Drosophila melanogaster: one gene and its partner. Changing the gene in region 1 together with any one later gene gives a genetic interaction. Each region holds a gene or a part of one and is shown on either strand. Other genes may lie near its edges.

Region 1 (3,926 bases):
ACAACTTGTAAGTGCACAGAAACAAAAAGTAGTTATAATATTTTTGATTATATTTGATGATATTTATTGTAAAGAAATAAATAAATAAATTTTAATTTTTGTTACATTTGGTAAATAAAAGATATATATAGAACTATATTAGGCCCTTAGATATATTACATCAAAATTCCTTTAAGTGTAGCCCATTCAAAAGATAGGCTTCCTCATTTTCCACTCTCCACCTAATTTTTTCATCTGCTTTCAGCAACTGGCACAATGGAATTGCATTGAAAACAAACGGTTAAGAATGTTTATAAACAAAACACAGAAGGAATGCGGTGGGTGGATGGTGGAAAAGTGGGCGGGGCTGGGGCCAAAGTGGCGCAGAAGGTGAAAGTATAACGATAAACGTAAACAGTAAGTGGAGGTGCGAAAAAAATGCGTAAACACAAATCGCATTGCAACAAAAAAAGAGTGTGCACCAATCAGCAACATGTTGCTAAGACACCAGCAACTTCTACGGCAATTGAGCGAGAGAGAGAGAGAGTGAGCGCGAGAGAGACCGAGTTCATTTTCGAAGTTCAACTTCGAAAGAGAGTACTTCTTGGGTGATATGAGAAATAACATTGAATTTTCATGCCGGCTGGTGTTGTTGTTATTGCACTTTTACATGCAGCTGAAAAACAGCAACAAAGAAGAAAAAACCAGGAAAATGCTGAAATCGCTGCCTCCCCCTGTTTTCGCCACCACTCCCATCAGACATTGACCTTGATAGTGGTCGTTGTTTTTGTTGCTCTTCTTCACTTGATTGAACGACAAAAAGTTGTTATTTTTGCTTACCGGTAAAAAAAATGGTAATCGATATGATGAAGTATAATTTAGTTTTATTGGGACATTTTCGAATGATACATTTTTAATGGACAGGTGCAGAAATTGATACACTTAGATGAGTAATTTAATGAGCTTATTATTTAAAAAACTAATTGCTAAATCTGTTTTCAAAAATCAGTCATACTTATTATCGCTCGACTGTCTTTAAATCTGCTTTAAGTTTTTATGTGTTTAATAAAAAAAGAAATTAATCCCCAAGCTTAAGCAACATGAGAAATGTTGAGTTACCATTTCAACATTATGTGTTCATATTTTTACAATGGGCTTGGCTTTTCTCAAATATGATTATGATGTTTATCATGTTATTGACTGTCACAATATCACAGCCAAGGAACTACCTATGTTTTCCTGAAACTTTCCATAAATCGTCTTAATGGGCTCGGTAGATAAATAAAACGAGAACAAATAGCAAATACATACAAGTTTTTGGGTGACACTCAAATATAATTGGAATTGATTAGGAATTAAAATAATACTTTTCAACGGTTGCTAAACTACATGATTGTACATCTTTTGGGATATGTACATAAGAGTTCAACGGCATACGATTTTAAATGCAAGGTAAACAAATCGTAAACATTCTTTGGTTGGAAAAGACAGAGCTAGGTGTGCACTTTTAAATAAAAATGTGCCAAGCAATATTTAAAGTAAATTTTTTTATGATTTTATTTGTACTTTCGCCAGCAACATGGACAATTTTCCAGCGCCAGCGAATGTCAACTGCAACGAAAATGTGCGAAAATGCCGATTAGAACGAGCCCGAATGAGTTCATCCTCTCTCTCGGGAAGTTCATTTCCCCGAACTCTCTCTCTGGATTCGGCAGCGGCAACCGATGTCGATGTTGCTGTCGTGTTGTTGCCGCTGCACATGTTGCAGATGTAGCTGCCGTCGTCAGTCGCTCGAAACGAATTTGGAATTCAGTTTTTGACTCGACGTCGCAGGAAACGGACGTGAGTGTCTCGCATGTTGCCACAATAATCGAAAAGAAAACTCTGAACGGAATACGAGACTTTTTTCAAGATATGTGAATCACTAGTGGATTACTGAAAACGAAAATAAATACCAACGAAAATATTTACCACAAATCCCAAGCAAACGATACGCGCGTCGTGCAAACTAATAATAATAAATCAAATACCACAAATATTCTGTGTTGAGTGATACTCGAAAAGTTGTCAAAAATCAAAGCGAAATTCGCAAGCAATACATTGGATTAACAATTGGCTCGAAACCGATTTGATTAGCTAGCAAAAGACAAGCAGAAACAGTTTATCAAACCACTTGACAAATATCCGTTGGACTATAAAAGCAGAAAAGCGGGTAAGTGGGCAGGGAAATGGAAAATGAAAAATCAAACCTGGATATGCCGCTGAGAAATTGAAAACTTTTACGCACCGGATTAGTTGGCGATTTTGGGTTGAGCTTCTGTAGGCGAGTGACAATCTTCTTAGCAAAGATCAACGGAATTTCCCTTTGATTTGGGAATTACAACATTAAAGTATGTTTTAAAGTTGAGTTTTCTAATCTTCAGAGTGCAGTGCTTACTAATTGAAACGAACTGAAAAAAGGCATTCCAGCGGAGTGAGGCCGTAAAAAACGAGATTTATAGGAGGAAGTTGGGGAATTATTCAAATAAGCAAGTGAAGGATTATATCCGATTCCAAACAAAATTCCCCGAAAGTGTGCGTTGTGTCTATCGAACAGATATGTTTATCCATATAAAGTTACGCCCGAGTGATGAGTGATTTTTGTGGAAACAGCAGATAGCTGTGCAGCTATCTGCTATCAAGCCATAAAGCACAGAACTCTTGTGGCGACCCATGCGGCTCCATCAGAATGTAAACAAATCATCTCTGGGTTTCGCTGGAGCTGCGGCTTCTTCCCTTCTTCAAAGCGTAGAAACCGCCAAAGAGACGAGAAAATAAAGAGAAGAAAAGACTGCGAGGGACCTTTAATTATAACCAAATACTAGTTGAGGCGACACCTTTGTTTACCTGCATTTTCGAGCGCTGTGTTTTTCCATTCTGTAAATTTGTTTAAATTATTAGCAAACGCGCAACAAGTGCAGCCAGTCGAAGTTCATTATTTTCCCCAATTCTTTGGCGTGTAAATCCTTTGGTAAATAAGTAAAGTATACCCCGCCTGTCGTCGGCGCAACTCATAAATTCACGCAAAATAAAATTTATGCTTATGGCTGGAGCTGGGGAAGTCGGACAAGAAGATGTACGAAGGATCGCGATAAGATCTGGTCTTAAATGAGTTGTTAAACGGGAATCGTGGTCGCCATGGATATAAATAATAATAACAACTCAATCTGGAGTGGCGTGGGTAGCTCGAAAAGTCCTCGGACAAGTGAACTGTTGCTTGCGGTCACAATGATTCTGGGTACTGGATTTTGAATCGATTTGAATCGTGTGAATGGGAAGCATTCTACCTGTTTGGCAAAATGAATTTTAATTCGGAATTGAGTCGTACACATGTCGGCCCTTTTTCACAGGATTTCCGCTTGCTGTTTAGCCTTTTTTTTCGAATGAAATCCCTCGGCTAATTAGTATGCCAAGCGTGTGCCCCTGAAATTTATAAGCCAACTGACTTTTCTCTGTAGTTGAAACATAAATTTCAGTAAAAGTGTCGTCTGTGCACTAGAGCACAGCAAGAAGTATAGGCCTTTTTATAAACTTGATGTGCCAGTGATGAATATTTGAGTGCAGACGATGACTAAAAATATCTTATTTGCTTTCTGCGGCAAGTCTGCATCAAAGAACTAAGTTCATTGAATAGGCCAACTTATGGCAATTCCTAAGCTACTTACAAGGTAAACTTCGCTCAGACCTCAAACAGAAAGTATCTTATGCAAATAAGTCGCTATATGGCGGACAGAAACAAAACATTCGCGCAGGAATATTAAGCAGTAAGAAATTGTAAACACAAAGGAAAATATTTGTTATACGCTTGTAAATTTATAGCGGCAGCAAAGTCCAGCCAAGCAGAGGAAAGCGTAGGAAAAGCGAAAGCGCACAGAAAAGCCGGGGAAAATTCAGGAGGCTGTTTTTCA
Region 2 (3,926 bases), on another chromosome or scaffold:
TGGTATGTATGTATGAATATTTCAAGAATCTTTGCCAGCGATAAGCAACTTGATTACCAAGACAATCGCGTTAATTAAATTGAGAAATCTATCAAAATGTTTTTTAAATATTATAATATTAATGGTATTTCCATATTTAAAATGGCCAGCATTAAAATGCGCATTTCGATGGGAAAACCACAAGAAACCATATAAGATTTCAGAAGGAAACATAGTGTGTACCTTGAGTGTGGCCTCGGAGGTGACCCTGGCCACCTTGAGTCCAGGCTCCAGGGAATCGTGTGGAAAGACTCGCACATAGACATCGATTCCACCGCTGGTGGAACGTCGTTTGGCCTTCTTGCCACTGCCGCCGAGTGCAACGGAATTGGTGTTGGTGGTGAGCGTGGACAGAGTGTTGGTCGATCCAGAACTGGCCAGCGTCGACGTCGAGTGGGCCAGACTGGTGCCGATGGGTCCGCTACCGCGGGCCACCTCCTCGTTGGGCAGATACTGAACGGTGCAGGTGAACTGTTCGGTCATATAGGTGGGCGCCAAATGGGATACCTGATGCACATAGTGCCACTTCAAACGCTCCACACTCAGCGAATTCGCTTTTAGACTGCGGAAAACCTCACGTATCTTGGAGCCCACAAAGAAGCTGTGGGCGCGCCACAAGCTCGGTGGCAAATACAGTTTGTAAAGCTTCTCGATGGAGCGCATCGCCTGCTGATCCTCCGACTGTTCCTGATCGTCGATTAGCATATCCATCACGGCCAGTCCCGTTGATTTGTCCTTGTGCTCCGGATAGCGAATCTCCGGGATTTGCTCGGTCCGCATATCGTAGCGCATTTGGCGGTAGAGGAACTTGTGGCTCCGTCCATCGATCAACTCCAGCTGGCTATCCAATTCGGGCACACGGAAACGCATCCGAAAGCAATAGACCAGCTGGCAGTTGAGTCGCTCGCCGGGCAGGCACCACGTCAGATCCAAACGCACCAGCGGCGAGGGACGTCGCGATGTCGAGTGCTCCCGTATTCCGTAGAGCAGCTGGGCAATTGGTGCAATGCCCAGCTGGCGGCACATCGTATTGCAGATCTCCTCGCACAGCATGTTGGGATGGAAACGCTCAAATTCGCCGGTGGTGAAGTTGAACACACGGATTGTGCCATCGTTGGTGTGGATGCTCTGCGAGGAGGTGCCGCTGCGCAGCGAGGAGTTCGTCAGGCTGGCGCTGTCCGCCAGCGAAGTGCGTCCGCTGCTGCTGTCGTCCATTCTATCCTCTCCCCCGTTGGCCAGGGCCATGAGAGGATTGTCGGTGAGTGGTCCCTTGTGGGCTGGGTGCTATCTGCTGCTCCTGCAAGCCCAGTTCCTTGGCTGGAGCAGTTTCCTTACGCGGCCGCACTGAAGCTAGATCATGGGAGCTTTCCTAGGAATTTGCCGCGTTCTATCCGTTTCCTCTTCTTCTTGCCAATAACAATGACCACCGCGACTGACTTGAGTTGCTATTTTTGGGCTTACTGCGAATGCTCCTGGAATCGGCGATGCTCTTACCCTTGCAGTTGCAAGGTTGCCCCAAACTCCAGCGCGAGTTCCATTGATGCCACTGGCGGGGAACCACCTGGACTGCTCCTTCTTTTAGCAAGCGCCAACTTTCCGAGCAAGAACCACTTCGCCACTTGGGCGATCCGTCAGCAAAGTAAACTGGAAATCGGAAATCACAGTGCACTGGTCCGAAATTAGACACCCGAAACGCCAGCTAGATCCCGAAATTTGTGGGGCGTTGTGGGAACAGGGCGACGGGACTGGATGGCGATTATAGACGCCTTCGATCTGAAAGTGGGCCTGCTGTCGAAACGAAGCTGCAATTGCGAAGCTACAATACAAGCCACGAATTTCAGTGAAATTCATCGGACAATTTGCACCTCACGATATCGATTGGCCGACGGCCGAGCCACTTTGTCATCGATTGTCCAATAACCTGTACTATCGCACCTTGCGAACCAGTGGTTGGCAACGCGAGGTTCTAGTTCTTTTTCGATAGTTCTCAGTAAATATAAATAACAACTTACTTTAGAAATGTATTCTTGAAAATTGTATACCCTCGTTGGCAGGAGGAGGATGCTTAAGAAAAAAAAATATACTGTTATTTGCTCTATGGCGTCTATATTCTTGCCATTTAAATATGACAACAGTGCAAACAGTGCAATATGCACGGCATTTCCAGTATCGAATAGCTTTGCTATCGAATACACATCGATTTTTGTAATTCCACAGTTCACAGCTGTCAGTGTCGTTTATATAACCTCAAACCTTAGAATATATGAAATTCCGGACGAGCCCGGTCAATTTGTAGATTGCTCACTGAAAATCACACGATGTCCGATTTTGAGAACCTTTCCGGCAATGACAAGGAGCTGCAGGAGTTCCTCTTGATTGAGAAACAGAAGGCACAGGTCAACGCGCAGGTGAGCCGGGTTCCCCCATACACATAATAACCATTCGTAATCATAACAATATGCCCTCGCACATTATATCGTCGCCAGATACACGAGTTCAACGAGATCTGCTGGGAGAAGTGCATCGGCAAGCCGAGTACCAAGCTGGACCACGCCACCGAGACGTGCCTGAGCAACTGCGTCGACCGATTCATCGACACGTCGCTGCTTATCACCCAGCGGTTCGCTCAGATGCTCCAAAAGCGAGGTGGCGGCGACCTGTAGATTTGTTCGCTTAATCGACACCGACACCGGGATCTGGGTATCCGAGTCCGTGGACGCTTCCGTCACTGTCCTACTGTTAAATCTATTTTTAAACAAAAAATTATCATGTAAGCACATTTTTTTCCGCGCTGCGTTTCGCCGCCGACATCCAAAGTATGTGGCCCGTAGTCTGCACCCAGCCCGAAATTGAAATCCGTGATTCGAGTTCCGGAATTAATATTTAATTCGGTAGCGCAACTCAATTGTTTGGTCGGCCCTACGTTAGCGTACCGAAAATAAATACATCTTTCGTTTCGTACGTTTAAAATGCATTGTGTTGTAATCCTTTGCTTGGATAGTTTTAATCTCTTCTTTTATAATGATGAAATATTGTTGATAGATGGCTTAATATTATGCAGAAAGGAAAATAGAATTGAAATTGGATCATTTCAACATACATTTAAATTTAATTAGGCTGGAAAGGGGCTTAGAATGAAATAGTAGGTGTTCCTTAAATGTTTATTAGAATAAATAAAGTTATTCCATATCGATAGTATAGTGCTTCCACTCGATAAGTACCTATCGGCAACTTTCCAATTGGAATTCATATTTACGCAACTTTGAACACACAAATGTAGCTGCCATTTCCTGTATAAAATGTAATACTAAATGTAATATTAATGCATTTCTGCTAAATCCAAAGGTAATACTTGCAATGCTTGCGGACCTATTTCCCGCGCTCGCTTTGAACGTTTGCCCAGGACTTCTGATTGGGCTGCACACGCAGCGCGCCTCTGGTCACACTGATCCCAACTAGAACTAGTGTTCCCGTGAGCAGAGCAGAAAACCGTAATATATATTCTCCAACGTGCTGCCGCTACTTATTTATATTAAACATAAAATGCCCGAAGGCTGTGCCAAACGCATGTCCTTTTTGCCAGTGAGTGTGTGTCCGTGTATAATATACATAGCAAAATATACAGTCGGTGTCGGTTTCTGTGAAGTGTAGAAGTTCAGAAGGAGAAGCGAAAAGCGTGAAAAAGGATCAAGTGAAGAGAAGCATGAAAAGTTACCTTGATTTGCCTGCAGGACTAAAAAAGGGACATTAAACTTTTTTAACGGTGCACCTTTTAGTTTTTTTTTGTGTCTCTGTGTGGTGGTTGTCCTCCTGCTTGCACTTGCATGTGTGAAAGGGATGTTGTTGTAAATACAGATGATGATATAAAGCAAGTACAGGAAAAGTCA

The links.
Region 2: of pxb (region 1) and hop, changing one enhances a phenotype caused by changing the other (phenotypic enhancement), as found in Drosophila melanogaster (one study listed by BioGRID).

The regions. Positions count from the first base shown.
Region 1 is NT_033777.3:15,664,396-15,668,321, forward strand, and holds the start of pxb (pxb), read left to right. Parts: upstream 1-1,787; 5' UTR 1,788-2,191; intron 2,192-3,582; exon of another isoform or gene 3,583-3,782; intron 3,783-3,837; exon of another isoform or gene 3,838-3,926.
Region 2 is NC_004354.4:11,366,179-11,370,104, forward strand, and holds the start of hop (hopscotch), read right to left. Parts: upstream 1,921-3,926; 5' UTR 1,285-1,920; coding exon 223-1,284; intron 1-222. Other genes in the region: Tim8, read left to right, coding at 2,358-2,447, 2,526-2,702. UniProt on the Drosophila melanogaster protein: Tyrosine kinase of the non-receptor type, phosphorylates the marelle protein. Required maternally for the establishment of the normal array of embryonic segments: involved in the control of pair-rule gene transcription in a stripe-specific manner.